2 linked regions of the Oreochromis niloticus genome follow. Each later gene encodes a partner of the first gene's protein in a complex. Links are inferred from orthologs where the notes say so. Each region holds a gene or a part of one and is shown in the gene's direction. Other genes may lie near its edges.

Region 1 (10,391 bases):
GTGACTAAATGCTAGCCAGTGATTTTGAGCATTCAGGCCCCTGTGTTGAAAGCAGTATTTTCTCCACAGTTTGAAATCCTTTTCCCAGAATAATTATCCATTGTAGATGCCCATCCTCAGATAATGACTGCCTCGCCACTGAGCTGGGAAATTAACAGGGACCCAGTGTGCTGCGAGCACAATGGAGGGACTGCCCCCTGTATCAGCACTCCGCTAATTTTAACCAAGAAGAGAAACTGGGAAACTGTTGTTAATACTTCCCTCCTGCTCATGAGGAATAACATAATTTTGTTTCGTGCATGATATCATCTAAAAGGAAAACTAATTCTTGAGAAGACCTGGATTCATGAAGTGAATGGCAACATTGCCCCCTTGTGAAACCGATAAGCAACTTCTCTGCATACAGTAACACCAAGGCTGGGGACTTGCACTGGTTCCAACTTTTTTTTCTTTAAGAAGCTTTTTTATTTTTTGCATTTCAACCTCTTGCTGTCATCACACCTTGGTGACTTTAGCTATGTTAAAAAGGATAAAGTGATCAGGAAAGATCAGGAGGGGTAAAATGGCTGTGGGAAATAGGTTATGTGAAAGTGGGTTTATTTTAAGGTACCGGGGCTCACGAGCTGCTTGTGGCACAGAATAACAGACTGATGCAAAAAAAAAAAAAAGACTAGAATCACAAGCAGGTATTATGACTGCAGCAGGATTTTTAGAGGTGCATTAGTGCAGCAGGGCCCCTTTTTTAATTGGTGTATTAACACATTTGTTTAGCGCTGTGCCAGAATTCACAGCGGCTTGATTATTATAGAAATGTGGGGCCATTTTTCACGAGCTTGGTCTCTTTGCAAAGTAATAACTGCTGGCTTGCAGACCTCTATTTTCATGATTCATGTGAAACACTCATTGAGTGTGTCTCAATTGAATGTCAGCACTATCAAAATAATAAACCAAATAAAACTGTCTTCTTGACCCGGCATCGCCTAATTGTTCTCTGAGAGAGACAAACTGTTTGGTATATTCTTCTATTCTGTTCACGCTATTTGACTGTGCACCTCTCTGCAATTTATAGCCCAGTTACACTCCATATAATCCCTATTAGTGGATGCTTAAGACTTCTCAAAGCAGTTAACTGTTGTTAGCGTCTGAAGTGTTAACCAGAGGGAGAGATGGATGGCTTTATTTGTGAAATTTATACTATGCACACAACACCTGCAGGGCAAAACAAGTGGAGGATGGTGACTTCAGCGGTGATCCATCTGCACCGCATATGGGAAGAGGCACCGTGGAAGTCTCTGTGCCCATGCATCAAAAACTCAAATCATCAGCAACAGTTCTTTTACTAACCCCGTGACTTAATTGGATTATGTGCAAATGTAGTTTGAAAGGTAAAATGAGTGTGAAATAGCAACTGGAAGCTCCAAAGAAAGATTCACTGAGCGCCAGAGGCGTTCCTGTCCTACCGTTAACCTCTCACGTGTGCACATTTCTGAGGGCTCGAGATGTATACTGATGAGGAGATCTGTGCGTGTTTTCAACCCAGACTTTTATCTGAAGTTAGTTCATCCCTTTTTGTCTGTGAAGACAATGCCCCGGCTCGGTGCCCGACACCTTCAACAGAGAGAGTATGTTGATGAATTAAAGTCTCATCAAACTGTGGCTTAGCGGAGTTAAGCAAGGCACATTAAATCAATACTAATAACCCCAGTATTTGCCTGCGTGAGTGTCTCGGTGACAACATCAGTATCTCTGTGTACTACTTTCTCAAAATGTGCCACTCATTGGGTGTGCAAGTAGACAACTTTATTGTCCTCATCTAACCTGACGGGCTGTTACTGTGCTCTCCGACCACATGGTGCCAAGCTTATTTATATGCTACCGGTGCGCAAGATCTTGGGCAGAGCAAATTGCCTTCGCGCAGAGAGAGACAGCTATCAATGCTTTGATGTGCGGCCATCTGTGTGTGTACGTATGCGCACTTACTCTGAGTTCATCTCTTGAAATGGGTTAAGTTGTACATTCCTTTTTTTTCACGCAAGAGAGAAATACAAAAATATCTGTATGGGTTTTATTTATCGACGACTCGTTCGTGTATTTTTTGCCGCACAGCGGGAGTGGGAGATAAATGAAGTTTAGCTGGAAGCCATGTTCCTTCAGGTCAACGAGCAGGTGGAAGTCTCTTTTGCTTTCTTTGGGTCGCGCCACCTCTCAGTGGAGTTGTGATGTACATGGCTCGGAGGGCTGCCCTGGCTCTGCTGTACCAGCAGCGTAAAACAAGGTCCCTGTAGTGGCTGACTCCCTGACTTGTGTCCCTTGCTGCAGCAGCAGAGAATGAAGCAGCCATACATCATAGGCCAAGTGTGTCCCCTGGGGCGGTGACAGACAAAGCCAACAGAATCAATAAAGCCTTAGCTCAAGCCCTACTTTTGTGCACCCAGACCTCACCTTGGCCTCTTTACCTCCTTTTCTTGCTCAAATTCCATCACTTTCTTTCTTCAATTCTTACACTTCTTGTCCAATTTTCTCTCCACTCCTTTCTTTCTCGGTGACATCATTTATCTTTGTCGGACTACGACTTCTGTCAATATTATCTCTATCTGCCCTTCTGCTCGGCCCCAGGTGAACATGCTGATGCACAGTGGAGCTGTCAGCCTTGACAGGAGATAAAAAAGAGAGAGAAAAGCACTTCAGAAAGGAGAAAAGACCGAGGCCTGAGGATTACCGAAGGCCATTCAGCTTGTTAGTGCAGAGGCACCTAACTCAGACGAATGCATACCTAATTTTTTTTCACAGGGCTGAGTGATTCAAGTTCTGGAGGGTTGAATGTTCCCCAAATAGACAGTTTAAATGATGGAGGGCCTAGTGTGGTAGCCACAAACTATTTCAGACAGCAGAGGAAATGCTATTAGAGAGATAGAAGGAGCACTGGGGAGTAGTTCGCAGTAATTAAACTGGAGCGTCAATGTTACTGCTACCTGTTTACAACCCAAAAGAGGGGCATTTTCCTGTGGCGAAGAGGTTTGGGTTTCATTTATTACTGTCGATTACTATTATGACGACCTCTCACGGTGAACACTGATTTTATTGAAGGAAATGATACCTTAAATATTTCACCAGAAAAGTGATTCCTGATAGAACATAGTTACATAGAAGCTGTAAAGTATAAATAAAAGGGACCTGACCTAATTCTGCACCTTTATTTATTTGATCAACTTAAATTTAAGACTAATGTTTCAGCAAAAGGCAACGTCAGAGATTATTTTGGAAAGCTAATCTTCACAGTAGCGTTACAACAATACTTACACATCACGCAGCTACTGTACATGTTTGTTCAGAGTACAAGACTATCATGACTTGACTACGACTATTTTATCTCCATACGGATTCACACAGGATACACATTCAGCTGCCTACATCCACCAGTCTGCCAAAAAGGTATGTGCGCTGAGCACACTTACATAAGAAATTGGATTTTAAGCTCAGCTGTGTGTGTGTTTTTGTGTCCTTGTTTTTGCACCCTAACCCAAATCTCAAATGCAAGTGTGGGGTTACACGAACACACACGAGGATGGTTTTACGTACGGAAGCATAGGTGCAACTTCTGTATGGCCATCTATGTGTTTTCACTTCGCTGTGTCCTTCCTCTGGCCACTGATTAGGGTCACTTGCTTGTGCCAGCTGGGTCAACACCATTATGCAGGGTCTTTTTATTCAACAAGGTATTGATCTTCATCCATGCGCTTATTTATGTCTGTGGGGGTGAGTGAAGATAAGCAGGAAGATGGGGCCAGGCCAAGAAAAGGAGGCGCGTTCTGGAAGAGTAAATTTGACATAAAAATCCAATCAATTCCTGCAGCCCATTCACAGCCTGACAGCCCGAGCTGCTTGTCAAAGTCCAGAAAACATAAAACTCACATGAGTAATCACGCTACTTCTTTCACTTTTAGCTGAAAACACAAAACATCTTTTAATAGTTTTCCTGTATAACGCAATCTTTAGAGACTCACTAGAAGATTAATATGACAGTGAGTGTAAATACACAAAGAGCCTTACACGCACGCTAGACACAAACACGCATGAGTGCTGAGGTACACAAATAATAAATATTTTTAACAGCACCGCTCCTCATTTTACATCTTTAGACACACATACAAAAACAGACTGAATTTTATCATGGCAGCAGATTTGTCATCATCACACGCACATACACAGCAACCTGGGTATGTTTAGCAGGAGCAACAGGCAACAAACAATACAAAGGGGGAAATGATGCTGTGAAGCACTGAAACGAGATTGGTCACGACTAAAATTACAGGCTTTTAACAATTGCCCCAAACACGCTATTAAATATAGGCATGCCTATTTTGCCACCCATTGAGTATAAAGGTGTATCTCTGACTGTGCTCCTGGCTGCTCATTACATATCATCGCCCAGACTCTAAAGCGCAGTGTCAGTTCAAGAAAATCTGGCACATCAGCAACACCGACAGAAGTCTTTGTATCTCCACCAAATATGCCCAGATGGCAATGAGCACTTATAGAACGTTTTATTCACAGCCAACAAAGGAGTTCAAACTTTATTTTATTGCATTAATCCTGAACGACGGAGAAGTTTAGATACTTCTAATTGTGATGCAGCAGTCTTTGAGGTTTCTGGGGCTGAAGATTAAGAATAACAAATGAGGTTAGACTGTAAAAGAAGAAAGAGAAAGAAAAGGTGAAACTAACACCAAGAAGAAAGATATGCAGACAGGAACAGAGAAACATGACGGACACAGAAAGACGAAACGGGAGCTGAGGCACATCAAATGGGTATTCTGCCAAGACTACGCTGTGGGGTTATAACCTGCCATCCCGGTGATTTATTCAACTCATCTGTAACATAAATAAAACAAAGCAGAGCTTCCTTTGTGTACGCGAGAGACGGCAAAGTCGGCTGATGCAGTGAAGCGGGTTAAATCTACAGCAGCGCAGCAAGGTGGGTAACAGTATGAGTCATCCACCCCACAGCCACTCACTAACTTACCTGCTGGTGCACACATGCACACATATGGGCTGCACAGGTTCAAGTAATTACACTGTCACACATGGTCTCACAAGAAAAGAACACTAAGGGATTCATTTTTGACACTGTACACTTTCAAGCACTGAGGTATTTTGACCGCTTTGGAAAACTGAGTGTGCCTTAGAGGTGTGGCGATGGATGATTTACAGTCTGTATGGATACATAGGCAGTAAGTTATTAATTAGTTAGTTAATAAAGAAGAAAAGTAGGAAGAGACAGGTGGAGCGATGTTTGCAGGGAACAAGAAATAGCATGAATCCTGAAGAACTAGTGGGCAAATAAATATATAAGTATATATATAAATAATATTTATCTAACATAACTAATAATGCTAAGAAAAATAACACTTTTTATTGAATGATCCAAAAGGCTTTGAAAAAACAATAAAATATATATCAAAGCTGGAAGGAGGATGAGACAGAGTGGCAAATGTTAAGATTGAAGGAGAGAGTGGGAGGGAGTTCAGGGGAGAGGCAAGAAGGATACAGAGAGGGGAGGGGAGAGAGAGAGAGCGAGAGAGAAGTTTATGAAGGAATGTGAGAGAGTATGGGAGACGGGACGGACTGAGTGTTCCAGGTATTGAAGAGGTCTGAGGAAAGGAACCTAAGAGACCTCAAACAACAAAAGCAGACATCACTTTTTTCCCCACACCGGCCCTGCCAGTGTTCGGCTAAGGATGGTTTGCTCATAGATCACAAAGCTTGGGAGACGGGGCAAAAGCAGAAGTGACTGAGACTGTGGAGGCAAAGAATAATGGAGGTAAGTCACCACTACAGGTACTCAAAGACAGCATGGCTTTCTGACTGGATCTGAAATGATGGCAGAGACTCGTGCGAGGCTCAAAGCCTTGCAGTTCAAGCAGGATACAAGCAGATTCCTCCTTATTTAAGTGTGCGATTTGCAAAGTTTAAGCAGCATGAACTAGGATCACTTTATGATCATACCAAATTACAGCTAACATTAGTAATAATTCCAATGTTTCTACGCATGGAAGCAGTCCAAGGCTTTTGCTTGTTAAATGTAAACTGAATTTTAAAATGAAATCATGTCTGTGTTGAGGACACACTGGCTATAAATGAAATGTCTGATTTCGACCCAGAAAACTGCCACTCGGGCTCTTTTCATTCAGCTCAGCCATTACTGGGCAAACCATTGTTTTAAAAAAGCTTAAAATAATAGGGACCAGCGTGAGGTTTGATTTGATATAAACACAACAACTCCTGGGATATAAATACCCCCGAAGGCTAAGCTGGTAGTTATAGGTGTTTTCAACATGATTTTCAAGTGTATTCCCCACCCAGTGATTACCTAAAGTAACCCCCCACCAACCCACGGTTCCTAAATATTGCTGTTTCTTTTATACAATTAATTGTAACACATGAAGGAGAGCTGTTTCGCCAACTCCCAGTTGCTGTCACACTCGCGTACAGTGAGATATGTGTTGAGACCTGCTGAGAACATGAATTCTTGTACATTGTGCAGGTGACAAGGTGAGTGGGTAAGTATAGGGCACTTGTACAGGCATGTTCAGCTTTGTTTGTACCAAATTATTGTGTGGAGAAAAACACAGGGGAGGAATTGTACCAAGGAATGTGAGAGTAAAAAAAAAGTGGGAATAGACAGTTCCCTGTCATTTCACTGGCTGAGATGTTTGTTTGTTTGTTTTTTATGTACACAGCAGAGATCATTTTTTATGTAAATATCGAGACTTGACAGATGATTCCGTTTTGGGTTGGTTTTTTTGGCTTTTTTCAATAACTAATGCTTTGCTCATTACCGTGTGACAATCATTTGAAGCTGTCATGACCTGCTAAAGGAGATGCTTCTTAAAATAACTGTCCCAGATACCTATATAACAGCATCCACTCGTGAATGAAGGCTCTGCCAAAGAAGCAAGGCAACCCAACATTCCTACATCCACAGTAGTTAACTTTTCAGGAATGAAACTGTTTCTGTTTAGAAGTAAACAGTAGATGAATATCAGCTCATGACTCTTCCCAATTATCCCAAGTCAGACTTCTGAAAGAAAATTTCCCTGAAATAAACAAAGTAGCAAAACAAGGTCAGAGGGCCTTTATTTTGGAGCTGAGCACAGGTATCGCCTGCAGCAAATATCTCCAGCTGCTTTTGGGATGATATAGACCCCCTTAAAGTGAGCTCATTGTGTCTTCCTCCTTACTTCCTCTTACTCCCACATTACACCATCCACACACACACGCACAGCCACAGAAGATTAGGAGGATGGGAGGCAGTTATGCTCAAGAATGACAATCTTATCATTGAGTATTCAGCTTTTGGGGGTCATCAGGCTTCAGTGCCAGGAAAGGCCTCATTCTTTTCTACCTACCTATACATGTTATCCACCTCTTAAGCTAGGATAAATCATAATAAGTATGTGTGACTGTGTGCGAAATCCAAACGTCTATATACTAAAAGTTCTCATGCCCTATCATTGATACAAAATATAGCCTGACGAGGCATTATAACACCTTTATAACACCAGAACAAAATAACTGATCTGACAGCAGTAAAATGTATTAGCAAATGTGACTTCTATATTTTTGGCCATAACCATGAAGTCTTTTTCCGAATCCTCTGTTAATGTGCAAACAGCATCGCAACAAAGCTTTTATGGCAATCAATCAAATTTGAATTTTATAATAAAAAGGCTGTCATATCAGACACGAATAGGACAGGCTGTTCAAAACGGGTGACAAGTAATGGAAAAAGTATATGTGCGAGTAATGGGTGAGCAATAATTCAGAACGTCTAAAAAACGCTTCCATTTGTTACATTTTCAGTTGCTGTTTTTAGAGAGGAATAAAAGCCAGAGAAGTTAATATTTTATGACAGCTGAGCTGGACTTTGATAAGAGCTATCTAACAGAAGATGCATGCAAGTCTTTAAAACCTTTTTTGGACTGGTTCCATGGCACTGCGCATGTTTGAGGTATTACAACAAAAAGGTGCAGAAACGCATTGTAAGGTAATAACCAATCGAGTATGGGCGGATGCAGCTCAATAAGGAAATATAAAAGGACATTTGAGATATTTAATTTTAGGACTTCTTGAATTCATGAGCATTAGTTTCCATGCTTGTCGCGACACTAAAGGTTCCCATTTAGACTCCATTAAAAATACATTTTCCTCTACACTCCAACTGCCAAGGTTATGCAAATGCACGCACTACAAGAGCAGTAGTTGGCCAGCCATACAGAGCCAATGAATAGTGCAGACGACCTCCTTATCTATTAAAACCCATGGAGGTTGATGGTTTGGTTGACCTAATGTCTCATTTGGATGCACATAATAGCATCTGAATGCAATCTAATTTCGGGCTGGGGGGTCTCACTAAAAGCTGAGCTCTAGTCAAAGTTGCCTGGTTGCCAAAAGGAGACACTGAGATCACATTAATATGCAAAAATTGTTTACTTTTATTATTCATAATTAAACCTCTTTCTGTATCCTGACCCTTATATCTCAAACAGAGGATACATGGGCTGTATGCTGGGCAATACAATAGTTGTCAATGGATAATGCAATGTTAGCTGCACAGAATAAATAGCCTTCTCTCACGCACACACAGTCCTTCCAAGTCAGTGTCTCTCTCTTTCTGCTTGTGCCTCTCTCTGTGCCTGGTATTCCATCTCCCTACTTCAGGGCAGTAATGAGTGTCTGGTATTCTGCACTTCAGCATTGAAGCCCTATTCATGCTCGATCTCCTTTACAATGCACTAAAAGGATTACCCAATTAGCTGCTATTGGATGTCATTGTGTGTGTGTGTGTGTGTGTGTGTGTGTGTGTGTGTGTGTGTGTGTGTGTGTGTGTGTGTGTGTGTGTGTGTGTGTGTGTGTGTGTGTGTGTACTTGTATGTGTGTGTGTGTGTGTGTGTGTGTGTGTGCGTGTGTGTGTGCATGTGTGCTTGGTCAGTAGATAGATGTGTTAGCAGTGAAAGTGAAAGATAGATGACCGTCTCTGTTCCACACTTCATTCCCAGTTGATGTTCTGCTGGAGGCCACATTACTCATCCCCACAACTCAGTCTTGTGAGTAAGACACAAGATAGAGAAAGTGTGTGTGTGTGTGTGTGTGTGTGTGTGTGTGCGTGTGTGTGTGTGTGTGTGTGTGTGTGTGTGTGTGTGTGTGTGTGTGTGTGTGTGTGTGTGAGTGAGTGAGAGACTGAGGCCTTGACAGCCTTCAGAGAATGACAGAGAAAGAGTATTGCTTTTCAATAATTTAACCTATGCACCGATTAGTCTCTGTGAAATACTCAGCTGTCATATGTGAACTGTGTCTTCTTCTCTTCGCACCGTAATTGGTGATTTAAATTTTCACTGTCATGTTGGGATAATAGGAATGTCCATTTCATTGTCTGTGAACCATTATTTACTTAGTGTGAGCCAAAGATTGATTCCAGTTATCTAATGCGTTACATCACAGTGTGAGCAGCGCGTTCGGCATTTTGCATTCAGAGGATCGAACCGTAGGCTATAAAGATTCATTTAGACTGACGTGGCTGGAAGCAATAAAGGTTCAGTCCACACTTTACAGGTAAAAAGTTGGGACACACTAATGCCTTTAGCATAATTCATTTATCATTTTACAGCTCCTCTTTGGGAAACCTGCAGTAAGCTCAGTGACATATACTGACTGTAAAATCACATTCTGGTTTAATATACGCTGATAAGCCAGCATGCATGCTGTGGAAACAATGATGAGTTTTTCTAGATTTTTCATGCTAAAACAGTACAGGTTTTAACAAAGTTTGCATGTATATCTCCAATTTTTTTTTTAATCAAAAGTTACAATTAAAAATTACATGCATACAAATTTGAGCATGATAACTTTACTGGTAGAGAACAACTGCAGATTTTATACATTATTTAGTAATATTTCATATTCTGTGTAAATGGTTGTATAAATCTTCTGTTATTCTTGATACTCTGTATGGTGTCCTTACATGTCTCCAAAAAAGTAGTGATGTAACAGGGATTAGCTTTTTTTTAATAGAAATGCTGTATTTCAAACTGGAGCCTTTGTTTAGATGATGGGTTTAAGATATTGTTGGGCATTGCATTCTGGGAAGTATTTTTTAAGTTATATTCATACAAATGACCAAAAATCAAAATATCTCACCCTTTGACCACTTCATGTTTAATTGAATCATTTAAAAAAAAAAAAAAAACAAGTGTAAATTAGGTAAAATATATTTTGTTTGTTCAAATGTTTAAGTTAATTCAAGTTAGCTTAACTTACATTAAAAGCCTTAAACAACAAATACCTAAATGTATTTTAGCCTTACGCAAAGCAAAACAGTAGTTTAAAATTTA
Region 2 (10,298 bases), on another chromosome or scaffold:
TGTATTCAGGTGTGTTGCACCAGGGACACATGGAAAAGTTGCATGACACCGGCCCTCGAGGACTGGAGTTTGAGACCCCTGTCATACGGAATATGACAGGTGTGGTTGAACTGCATGAAGACGCTGAAGTTTCTCTTCTCTTCTGGCAGGACAGGAATGTAGCCTTGTCCTGTGAGCCACCGTAAGGATGTACTTGGAGTAGAACTGGACTGTCACCGGCCTCAGGCTCTTCACCTTTTCAAAGACAAAGCAGTCATTTAGATAAAATATTAGATATTGTTTACCTGTAAATGCACAAAGAGAATTTAGAAATGTAATTATTGTCAAGAGTGAAAAAGCACTGATAGTGTAATCTACAGCTGTGGCCAAACGTTTAGAGAATGATTAGTGTTGTTTATTTACAAAGTTTGCTGTTTCAGTGATAGTTGTATATCATATTATATCACTTCAAACGGAGGTGATCCAGTAATGCTGCACTAATGAATTAGACTAACTATTCACTTTAGCTAAAGTTATTAAGTTAGCTAAAGAGTTGGGATGCTGTGTAAGACATAAATAAAGCTAAAATACAAAGGTTTGGACACTGTTTTGCATGTTTCCCTACTGTAGGGGTCTCTGCAAGCATACAGGGCTCTGACAGGGTACAAGATGACAACTTTGGAATTCTACTAGAAACAGTCGATCATATTTGTTTGTCAAAGCTGAATCCAGGGCAAACTAGGCTAAATTAGCGTTTTTAGCTAACAGCTACAATAAGCATAAAAGTTACTGTACGGCTATCAATTGTTAACATGACGCTTGTTCTTATACATGTAATACATTTATTACCAACCTGAGAGTTTATCCGCTGGTCATTCGACATGACGAATGACTTCTGAAGTCTTAATTCAGCTCAAGACACTGTAGATTCCCGTCAGTAACACTTTCGGTCCGCTAGTAAAACGTAGTTCTATTAATCTGCGCTCGTTTACTCTTGAACCGGAACCGGATGTAAGTTCCAAAAAACTGAATTTTGGAACTGAAATTGAATTGTAGAACTGAAACTGAATGGTGAGAGTGAAACTGAAATTATTCGAGAGCTGAATTTTTAAAGGATAAAATGCAGTTTCAAAGCAAATGAATTCATTTTCAAAAATAAAATTCAATTTCAATTTAGTGATGATCATTTTTAAACCATAAATTCAATTTCAAATTAGACTAATTCAAATTCAGTTTTCAAAAGCATTTATTCAAGTTACAATTCAGATTCAATCTGAGCAATTCAGATTCAAATTTAACTTATTCAAATTCAGTTTCTGATGGCACAGATTTCTGCCCATACATCTGCTCATCCAGACTTTTGTCTTTGATTTGAATGGTCAGGGGGAGAGAACAGACACTGAGGGGAAACATTCAGCGTTTTTTTTGTTTGTTTGTTTTTAATTGTTTTACCACTGAATGTGCTGCTGAGATTTCTGGGTGAGAAAAAAAAATCCTATGAAGTTATGTCGTTTGCTAACCCAGTACTATCACGGTTATCAAAAAGAAGAGCTTCAAATGATTTGTTTTTAATTTAATTGGTTTAAAGTTCAGCAACACCTTTAATTGTACTTATGCAAAAATTATAGATCATCAAACATGCTGCACACAATCTCAAGTGTATATCTACTGGTGATGTTTTGTTTTTTTTTGTTTTTTTATTCTCACCTGATCCTGCAGCTGTTTGGATGCAAAGCTCTATGGACTTGAGAATAATCAGGCTGACAGCTCTCAGCATCACGCAATCCCAGTTCTGAATTTGATCTCCCAGAATGTGCCTGGTTCCTCCAAAGAAAGCGCCAGACTGCATTTGAATACTCAGTAACCAATTGTCAGAAGCTGCTTTTAACACAGTTCGAGCAAGAATGCTCATATCAGAGCTCCAGTTTCCACATGTCATCCATGACGCCACATCCCCTGAAATCCAGTCCTCTCCAGCCTTCTGAAGGATTGCTCTCTTTAGAAGAAGCAGCACTCGCTTTTTAACATAATACTCTGAGGAGGAGCAGATGTTTAGGAGGGCCAACGAGTGAAGGTGGGTTATTCTCTGACTCTTCAAATGGACACCAGCTCCACATACCAAACTAGAAGAAGTCAGCACCTCAAGCAGGTCTAGCAGTAGACATAATGATGTTCCCCAGTGTGTGCTTCTGGTAAAATCCACTAAATGCTGTGACATGTGTTTCTTCTCTTCAGGGAGCAGTTTTGAACATAGAACACTTAGACTGAGGTCAAAACCTGCCAGAAGTGTCATAAGCTCTAATGGAAGAAGAAAAAAAATGTGAGACTAGACAAAATCAACCATCATCCTGTAAGCATCATAGGTTGCTCTTTTCTGCCCATATCTTACCCCAATGAGTTACCCTAGCTAAAGAACAAATGATTTTATTTACAATTTCAATAACAAACTCATCTTTAAGTAAATTCATTGAAATGTTCAAAATCTTAAAATGTTCTGGCTGCAGTTTCTACAATTTGATAATTTGCTCATTTTCTGTATTTTTGTTACCATTATAGCCTAGATATCGTGGATTTTGGACTCTTTGAAAATTAAAATTACTAACACCGTTTACCTCGATGAGCTCCTTTAAGAAGTTTTTTGGAGACTTCAGTCAGTGACCACAAACAGGCATCTAATTCAGCACCAGGCCATGGGTTCTGAAATGCTTGTTCACATTTCCTCTGCCAGACAGGACTGATAACTCCCTAAGAAATTTAAGCATACAAGCGCTTAAATTCAGTTTTAAACTGTCAAATCACAACAACAGTCACTTCAAGGCGCTCAATATTGAAAGGTAAAGACACTAAAATTTTATAGAGAAACCCTAACAGATAACCTCCTATGAGTAAGGACTTGGCAACAGTGGGGAGGAAAAACTCCCTTTCAACCTTCTTTTTAAAAGGGAGTTCCTTTCCACTGTTGTCCAACCCGTCAGAACCAGGTCACGGCAGCCATCTGCCATGACCAGTCTGGGCGGGGGACTAGATAAAAGACATGCTGTGGAAGAGAGCCGGAGATGGTGAGTAAAAAAGGGTAAGAGAAGGAGAAACGTTCAGTGCATCTTGAGAGAACCCCAGCAGCCTAAGTCTACTGTTTAGTGCTACTGTGTGGATTCAAGGTCACGCGATTCAGCCGTAGCTATAAGCTTTCAGAAAAAGGAAAGTCTTAAGCCTAATCTTAAAAGTAGAAAGGGTCTCTGTCTCCCAAATCCAAGCTGGGAGCTGGGTCCACAGAAAAGGTGCCTGATACCTGAAAGTTCTGCCTTGCATACTACTTTAAAATATCCCAGTAACCACAAGTAAATCTGCAATCTGAGAGCAAAGTGCTCCATTGGGGTGATATGGTACTATACATCTTCCTGATGACCACAATTGATCATGTGGCTCTTTGTTGTTTCATCCTGGATAGTGCTTCTGACACTCACTAGCACTTGGTCTCCTTCCCTCCGCTCAGCGTACAGTCTCAGAGGGCTAGATTTGGGGTGAAACCCTACATGCATAAGTAAGAAGCTTCGTTGTCTTGATGTCAGTGGATTTGATCTCCTCCTTTGGGAGTAGGTGGCGATTGCCTTGATCTTGTTCTTCCCATTCAGCTACTTCTCAGGACTTGCCTTACTTGCTGGGTTGTTGTAGCTTTCCTAGTAGCCTTTTCATGGTTCCCAATTGGCTATTTTCAGTGTGTTGCCTTCTGATAGACCTTAGAGGACTGCACTTCCTCTCTTTTTTTACTATTAGGGTTCTGCTCATTTTGTGTAGCTCTATGAATTCCAGGTTCCATGTGTGAGGTTTAGAGTCATAGGCTTTCTCGTAGTAAGTCCAGGTGGTGCACAGGTTGGCCAGTCTGGTCTTAGTCTTGAGTGAATGTTCCAGCTACCAGTTGCTGAAGTTTTGCCCTTCTGGTGTTTCTGCCAATTCCTTTCTGGCCCCGCTCACATATTGAGCCATGTCCCTGTTCATCTTAGTCACTATGATACCTCAAGGCACTTTCACATAGGATGTGTCTTTGCAGCAAAACAGTACTCAATTGTCTTTTTAAATTTAGCATTTTCTGCCCGAGTAAAATATTATTTGAATTTGGATAGGTTCTGTTTAACTGTGCCAGAAAGGTTTGTTGTATATCTTGACTGCTGTTTTTTAAGAAACCTCGTACTTGGGACTTGTAGTGACTTCATAATGAATTTGCTCACCTGTGTTTGTGCCTGACATGTGTGCCCCGTGGGGTTTAATTATTATTGCATCTGTGTTAAAATATTCTAAGCCCCTATAATTTGCTCAGCTGTGCAAACAACTTAATTTCAGTTTTGGTTATTTACTCTTGCCTCATGTAAGCAGCAAGGTCTGGTAGTTTTATTGTGACAAGACACTTTTATATCTTAGAGCTTACCCTCTGTCGCCACCACAGTTCAGCACCCCAAACTTCAATGCCCTTCAGTAGGGCATCCCAGGTTGGTCAGTTTAAGGCTGTCCTTTGAACCACACAATACATTTCTCTGGATTCACTGAGTTTAGAAATTGAGCTTCATTCGTAAATTGGTGAATAACGTGCACTCTCCATCGTTGCTTTTGAAAAACAGTCTCTTGTTTTGTTCAGCAGAAACATCTAGACCCTTCTGGTGTCTCCTTTTACATTACTTTAAAACTTTGCTTTTTTCACCATTCTTAACATTATACACAATGAACAGTGTTACATATTTTTTAATAGTATGTGATTTACAGTAGGCTAAAGCGTTTCAGTCAACTCAGAGACGGAAAAAAAAACGTTGCTGAAAACGAATCTCCAAAGAATGACTACTTACAGATTTGCAGATAAGGTAAAAAACACACTTTGATGCTGTCTTTGCAGCCAGATGTGAGATAATGTGGTCCTCGGCTTGGAACCGGTTTACCTATGGAAAAGGTAATTAAATCAATTATTAAGATAACTTTACGTCTTTACTCCCATGACCAGTGGTAGCACTTACAAGGTGCGTGATGAGATCCATGTCTTCAAGCAATACTTTTAGGACCTCCGCATAATAAAACTTAACGTCTGGATGCAGCCCCTGAGACGTCAGATTAGAAGAAACCCTCTCGAGGAAAGACATGCACATGCAGGTCAGCTCCGCATTCTTTTCACCGCAGTACTCTGAGGGGGAACCTTCTCTGTCTTTACCGTGGACAGGTCCACATAATCCCGAATATATTACGCTCGCTACATCGGCAGCATTTTGGGGGGGGTACGATCCCGCAAGAAAGCATCTGTACGCTTCTGTCAAACAGTTAAAAAGCCCTGTCATTATGGACAGGTCTTCGTCTTTACAACTCATATTACCCTCCATTGCGCTGCTACTTCCGCGTGGATCTCCCATGTGATATACACGGAAGCAGCCCTACAAAATACGTGAAGCATTACCAAAATAAAATAAAAAAGTCTAATAAATGAAAATAGAACCTTATATTGTTGTTGTTGTTTTTACATTGTGGGAAATATATAATAGTGAATATAATAATAGCACTTTAATTACTTTAATGACCATGGATTTATATAATGTGTCTATTTTCAGAAAGTTCATTCCGTCAAACTGGACGTTTTCTGTAGGAGAAAGGTTTCTTCATCCAAACCACTAATCTCAGCTGACTGCAGAATAATGATGGAAACTAGCTCCACTGAATAACAATGGGCCGTGAGGTTAGTTTTATGATCATTAATCTGCAAATTGATTGATCAGTATAGCATCATCATATATGCACGCTTCCTTGCCTTTCTGATTTATTTTAAATTAATTGCATCCAAAAATTCATTTTATACGTCTGCTTTGCAAATGGTAGTTCTTGACGTGCTTGGAGCTGTGGAAATTATGCTTATATTGTGAAAGTCTGCAGACGGAAGTGTTATTGTTTTTGCTGATGGAGTCACGCTGGTGAAGCTCTTCGCAGACACTCTGTGATTAAGTCTTAGTGTTGGACAGTTAGATTATTCTTGTCATTACCTACAAAGATATAGATAAAAGTTTGACACTAGCTTCTTTGTTTAGTATTGTATTTGTGCTGAAAGTAACGGAATTATGCGGCTTTGACAACTTCAATCGTTCCGTCTACCTGAAAGCTGATTGGCTCAGTTACACGTCGGTTCAGCGTCTGACAAGTAAGTCTTTGTTTTATAGAGCTGCTGTTTTGTCAATAAAGGCGTAGAATTCCTTTTAATATCCACACACGCCGTGTTTTGGGGTTTATTTCTACCCAATTATAATAGTGTAAAAAGTAAAATGAAGCGAAATAAAATTAAAAACGAGCGAATGAGTTTGTTAGCTTTCTGGCTAACTAGCTGCAGCTAACCTTCTAAGAAACGTACAGCCGTAAACCATGGGTTATTCTAAAAGGATCTACTTTCATTACACTTTCTGGGGTGGTGGAAATGAGCTATCTTCACCGCCGAGCTTCTGTAAGTTATATCTGTATACTTGTGCGTGTTTTGTATTATTGGTCATGTTAGCAAATAAAGGCACAGTGTTGTCTATTGTTTCTCATAAACGAGTTTAACGAGCCAAACTTTTTAAGGTTTAAGGTAATGACAGATAGTTACATTTTCATTCATTTGCAAAGTTTTCTCAGGTTGGATAAAAATAGTGTAATTAGCAAGTTTACCTTTGGGTAGTGTATATGCATATAATTATTTTTTTGTATTTAACTCTCTGGTTATTACTATTGTTTGGCTGTTATGGTTTTCAGCAATAATTGGGGTGTATCCATGACCAATTGACTATGTCCGTTAGTGTTCACAATACTCTTCATTGCCTCTAATCTTTTTTTGATGACTGTGTTTGTGTGCCACAGGGAAACATATTCTCAGTTCCTCACAGTGTGCACCAGTACATCTGCAAATGCAGCTCTGATATGACTAAAAGAAGTCCATCTCTTCAGCTGGTCAAAAGGTACATTTTAGTATCTAAAACATGAGCTTTTCTTTCTTTCTTTCTTTTTTTTTAACAGCAGCATAATTTCTCCCAACAAGGAAACCACAAAAAACTTGCTAGACCTCTTTATCAAGTAATGGTTAAGCCTTTGTTAGCTGAAGCAAAAAAGTGACTGTCTCACATGTACATTTTCAAACAACTTAATTTATAATTACATTTTTGTGGGGATATATACAACTTTTATAGTCTTGTCTCTTTAATATTTAAATTCCAAGTTTTCTGCTTTTTATTCAGTAAGACTGAATTAAATTAATAAAGTTCTGAATGTCGTGGAGTAAAGATTTGTTTGCTGCTTTATAAATTATTTGTGCAATTCTGAGATCAACCAAATCTTTAAATTGAATTCAATGATTTTTTATCACAAATCACAACAGCAATAATGAAATGTTAATAATTTAATAAAAAATTGATTTGATGGTCTTTTGAAGTTTTGGTGTAGCTCAGGTGGTAGAGCACCTGCTAATCAGAACGTTGGTGGTTCAATCCTCATCTCTCCAGTCTGCGTGCCAAATATCCTTGGGCAAGATGCATCTGTCAGTGAATGCGTGTGAATGTTAGATAGAAAGCTTAGATAGAAACAGTATAGTATGATTGTGTGAATGAGGCAAGTTGTATAACCCATTTTGAGTGCTCAGAGTAGAAAATATACTCTATATTCCACCAGTCTGGATTTTAAGTCAAATGTGTTCAAGTGCAGACTTTGAGCTTTAAGTCTATGTTTTTTCAGAGTTTGGATTAACTGCTGAGAAATTTAGGGTGATGGAGGGGCTGGAGCCTATCCCAACTGCAGTACAGTAAGAGGCGGCTTACACCCTTTTCTTGCAGTCCCCTGTTTTTAGATGCTTAAAATTAACTGGACAGTTGTCTCCAAAGCAGTTTCCTCGCTATGTCATCGCAAATGAAGCAGATGCCTGAAGTTGACTCATAGAGCTGATTTTGTATTTGTAGTTTTGCAATTTTAAATATAAGTCTCAGACAGATGGCAGTGCATACAAGGTACACCATCACTAGGCTGGAAAAAAAAAAACACAATAAACCAGAGAGAGATGGTAAGAAATTTGGCAGTGGCCAGATCAACAGTGTGGTACATACATAAAACAAAGATTAACTTTAACCAGAGCGATGGGAAAAGTATTGAGAAGCAGAAAAGCAGCTCAAGATCAGATAGGCTCCTTTCCCATTAGTACCTGCTCGGTTTGAATCGCCACGACTCGACTTGGATTAACTGGTTTTCCATTATAATCAAGTACAACCTAATGTGTGTTTTCATTGTCATAGCAACACGTCCAAGTGTCCTGTGACGTAATTAACATGCAACACAAACGCTACAACAAAGGTGGGTGTCGAGGCAAGAATACACCTCCTGCTCGGTCTGTCGCTTTTCGGCAGACTCTGGGACCACGGCATTGTTCTTTGTAGCCATTTCCCTTATTGACAGCCAGGGCTGTGTAGAGATTTTTGAAGGGGTGGGTGCTGAAAGTTAAAAAGGGGCACATGGAACCAGAGTGAATAACAACAACCCATATTCTTCAAAAATCTAATATGGATTCGCATCATACTGTATCACTGTTATCAGGTGGGGATAAGGCAAAGCAAAGGTAGCCCATTTCTTGCCTGATGGGTACAATGTTGCTGTTGAGGTGTTGCTGCTGCTCCTGCTGCTGATAGTGCTGGAGGGCAGGGCTGTGTTGATCTGACACTGTAGACATTTAAAAAGTCTGTAGGAGATATGGTAGCTGATTGTGTTGTGAGATAATAATGAAATGCAAAGATCGGTGACAGTGCTTGGAACCGTAAGGCAACAGATTAAAAAAAACTGTGGGAAATGAACTAGGCTCTGCCTGTGAATCACTCTTTGCCTCTCTTCCTCCTTCCATCTCCTCATCTCATCTATCGCTGTCCACTTGCTGTCCTTCTGAGAACAAGGCACAACTTGCTATTGCATTTAACTATCTACACTTAACAAATCCCATGATGCTTTGAGTATTTCTTCTTCATGTGTTAATAGACCTCTCTGCTTTGAGTCATACTTGTTATTAATCTCTTCCACAGCATGTCTTTTATCCTGTCTTCCTACTATCTCCCTAACCGGTTATGGCAGATGGCCCCGCCCCTCCCAGAGCCTAGTTCTGCCGGAGGGTTCTTCCTGTTAAAAGGGAGTTTTTCCTTCCGCACTCATGTGGTTGAAAAAAACATTTGATTCTGGAGGTTATTTAAACATATCATGAGATATAGATATTAGATTTTCATCATCGCTCAGCCCTAGATCAAATAATGAGTTTCCTCAATATTTGAGGAAGCTCATTATTAATGTTAACCCTTAAAAACTTCTGAACATCATTAGTACACCATTTCAGTATTATTTTGATTCTTTTTCTTTAACATTTTGATATTGATTTTGATTTTTATATATTTTTTTTAATGCACCACCTGTGTGTGCTTGATTTGTGTGTTTTGTCTGCCATGTATGTCCATTCAAATCTGTCAGATCTACAATGAACTGCTTAAATTGTAGATCTATGTTGCACTAAGGCGGTGGTCAGAGGTGGGCAGACACTGTACTGTAATGTATGAATGAGTTGGGTTTTGCACAAATTTATTTTAGCCATTAAAATATCCTCAGATCGGCCAGATACAGTCCCAATCAAAAGTTTAAGACCACTTGAAAAATGTGAGTGAAGTTGGCTCCCCCACCTTCTTCAAATCCAACACACACACATTAATAAAGTAAATAAAAATTGGTGTCAATCAACTGTGCTACGTTGTGCTGCAAAAAATTTTGTTTGTGCCGCTATCATTTTAAAGATATTAATAAAAATGTCAAGGTCAACCAGCCCCCCCACATTACCCAAATCAAAGAAAAGTGGTGTCAAACGATTGTGCTACGTTTATGCTGGTTTGTGCTGCTAAAACTTTTGTTTGTGCCGCTAATATCTTTAAAATGATAGCGGCACAAACAAAAATTTCTGTAGCACAAACCAGCGCAAACATTTGACACCACTTTTGTTGGATTTGAAGAAGGTGGGGGGGCCAACTTCACTTACATACTTGAAAAATGGCAAAAAATCATATTTTTCATGGTTGGATCTTAACAAGGATCAAGTAGAGCTTTAGCATGCAACAAGAAGAAATGGGAGCGAGACAAAAAAAAAAAAAATTTGATCATGCAGTTTATTGAAAATGACACTTAAACTGACACAGGCTCTTAGGCCACCTCTATCATCAAGTTATGTGTTAAACTACTTTTTCAATTTTAGTATTGTCTTTTCAGATTAAAAGCCATGGCCGTAAGTCTGAACTTAATTTCAGTCATGCTTAATGTACCCA

What was found.
Region 2: the proteins of lzts1 (region 1) and asb7 are in contact, whole or in part, in a crystal structure (PDB 8Y1U), measured with the Homo sapiens proteins. The link is inferred for Oreochromis niloticus from reciprocal best matches to the Homo sapiens genes LZTS1 and ASB7. Residues at the interface, in NP_001349813.1 of Homo sapiens: Arg346, Glu348, Leu349, Leu352, Met353, Glu355, Gln356, Leu358, Leu359, Glu360, Lys362, Leu363, Arg364, Ser365, Tyr366; in NP_937886.1 of Homo sapiens: Asn46, Trp48, Ala56, Ile79, Phe82, Tyr87, Met90, His91, Asp116, Trp118, Val123, His126, Tyr127, Ser147, Lys149, Thr151, Gln155, Leu156, Ile159, Arg160, Phe182, Arg185, Tyr186, Ile189, Lys190, Arg210, Leu220, Leu223.

The regions. Positions count from the first base shown.
Region 1 is NC_031977.2:14,322,820-14,333,210, forward strand, and holds the start of lzts1 (leucine zipper putative tumor suppressor 1), read left to right. Parts: upstream 1-5,591; 5' UTR 5,592-5,821; intron 5,822-10,391. UniProt on the Homo sapiens protein: Involved in the regulation of cell growth. May stabilize the active CDC2-cyclin B1 complex and thereby contribute to the regulation of the cell cycle and the prevention of uncontrolled cell proliferation. May act as a tumor suppressor.
Region 2 is NC_031965.2:5,045,390-5,055,687, forward strand, and holds the start of asb7 (ankyrin repeat and SOCS box protein 7), read left to right. Parts: upstream 1-5,879; 5' UTR 5,880-6,142; intron 6,143-6,191; exon of another isoform or gene 6,192-6,439; intron 6,440-6,831; 5' UTR 6,832-6,929; intron 6,930-10,298. Other genes in the region: lins1 (protein Lines homolog 1), read right to left, coding at 1,687-2,277, 2,592-2,724, 4,815-4,904, 4,980-5,366. UniProt on the Homo sapiens protein: Probable substrate-recognition component of a SCF-like ECS (Elongin-Cullin-SOCS-box protein) E3 ubiquitin-protein ligase complex which mediates the ubiquitination and subsequent proteasomal degradation of target proteins.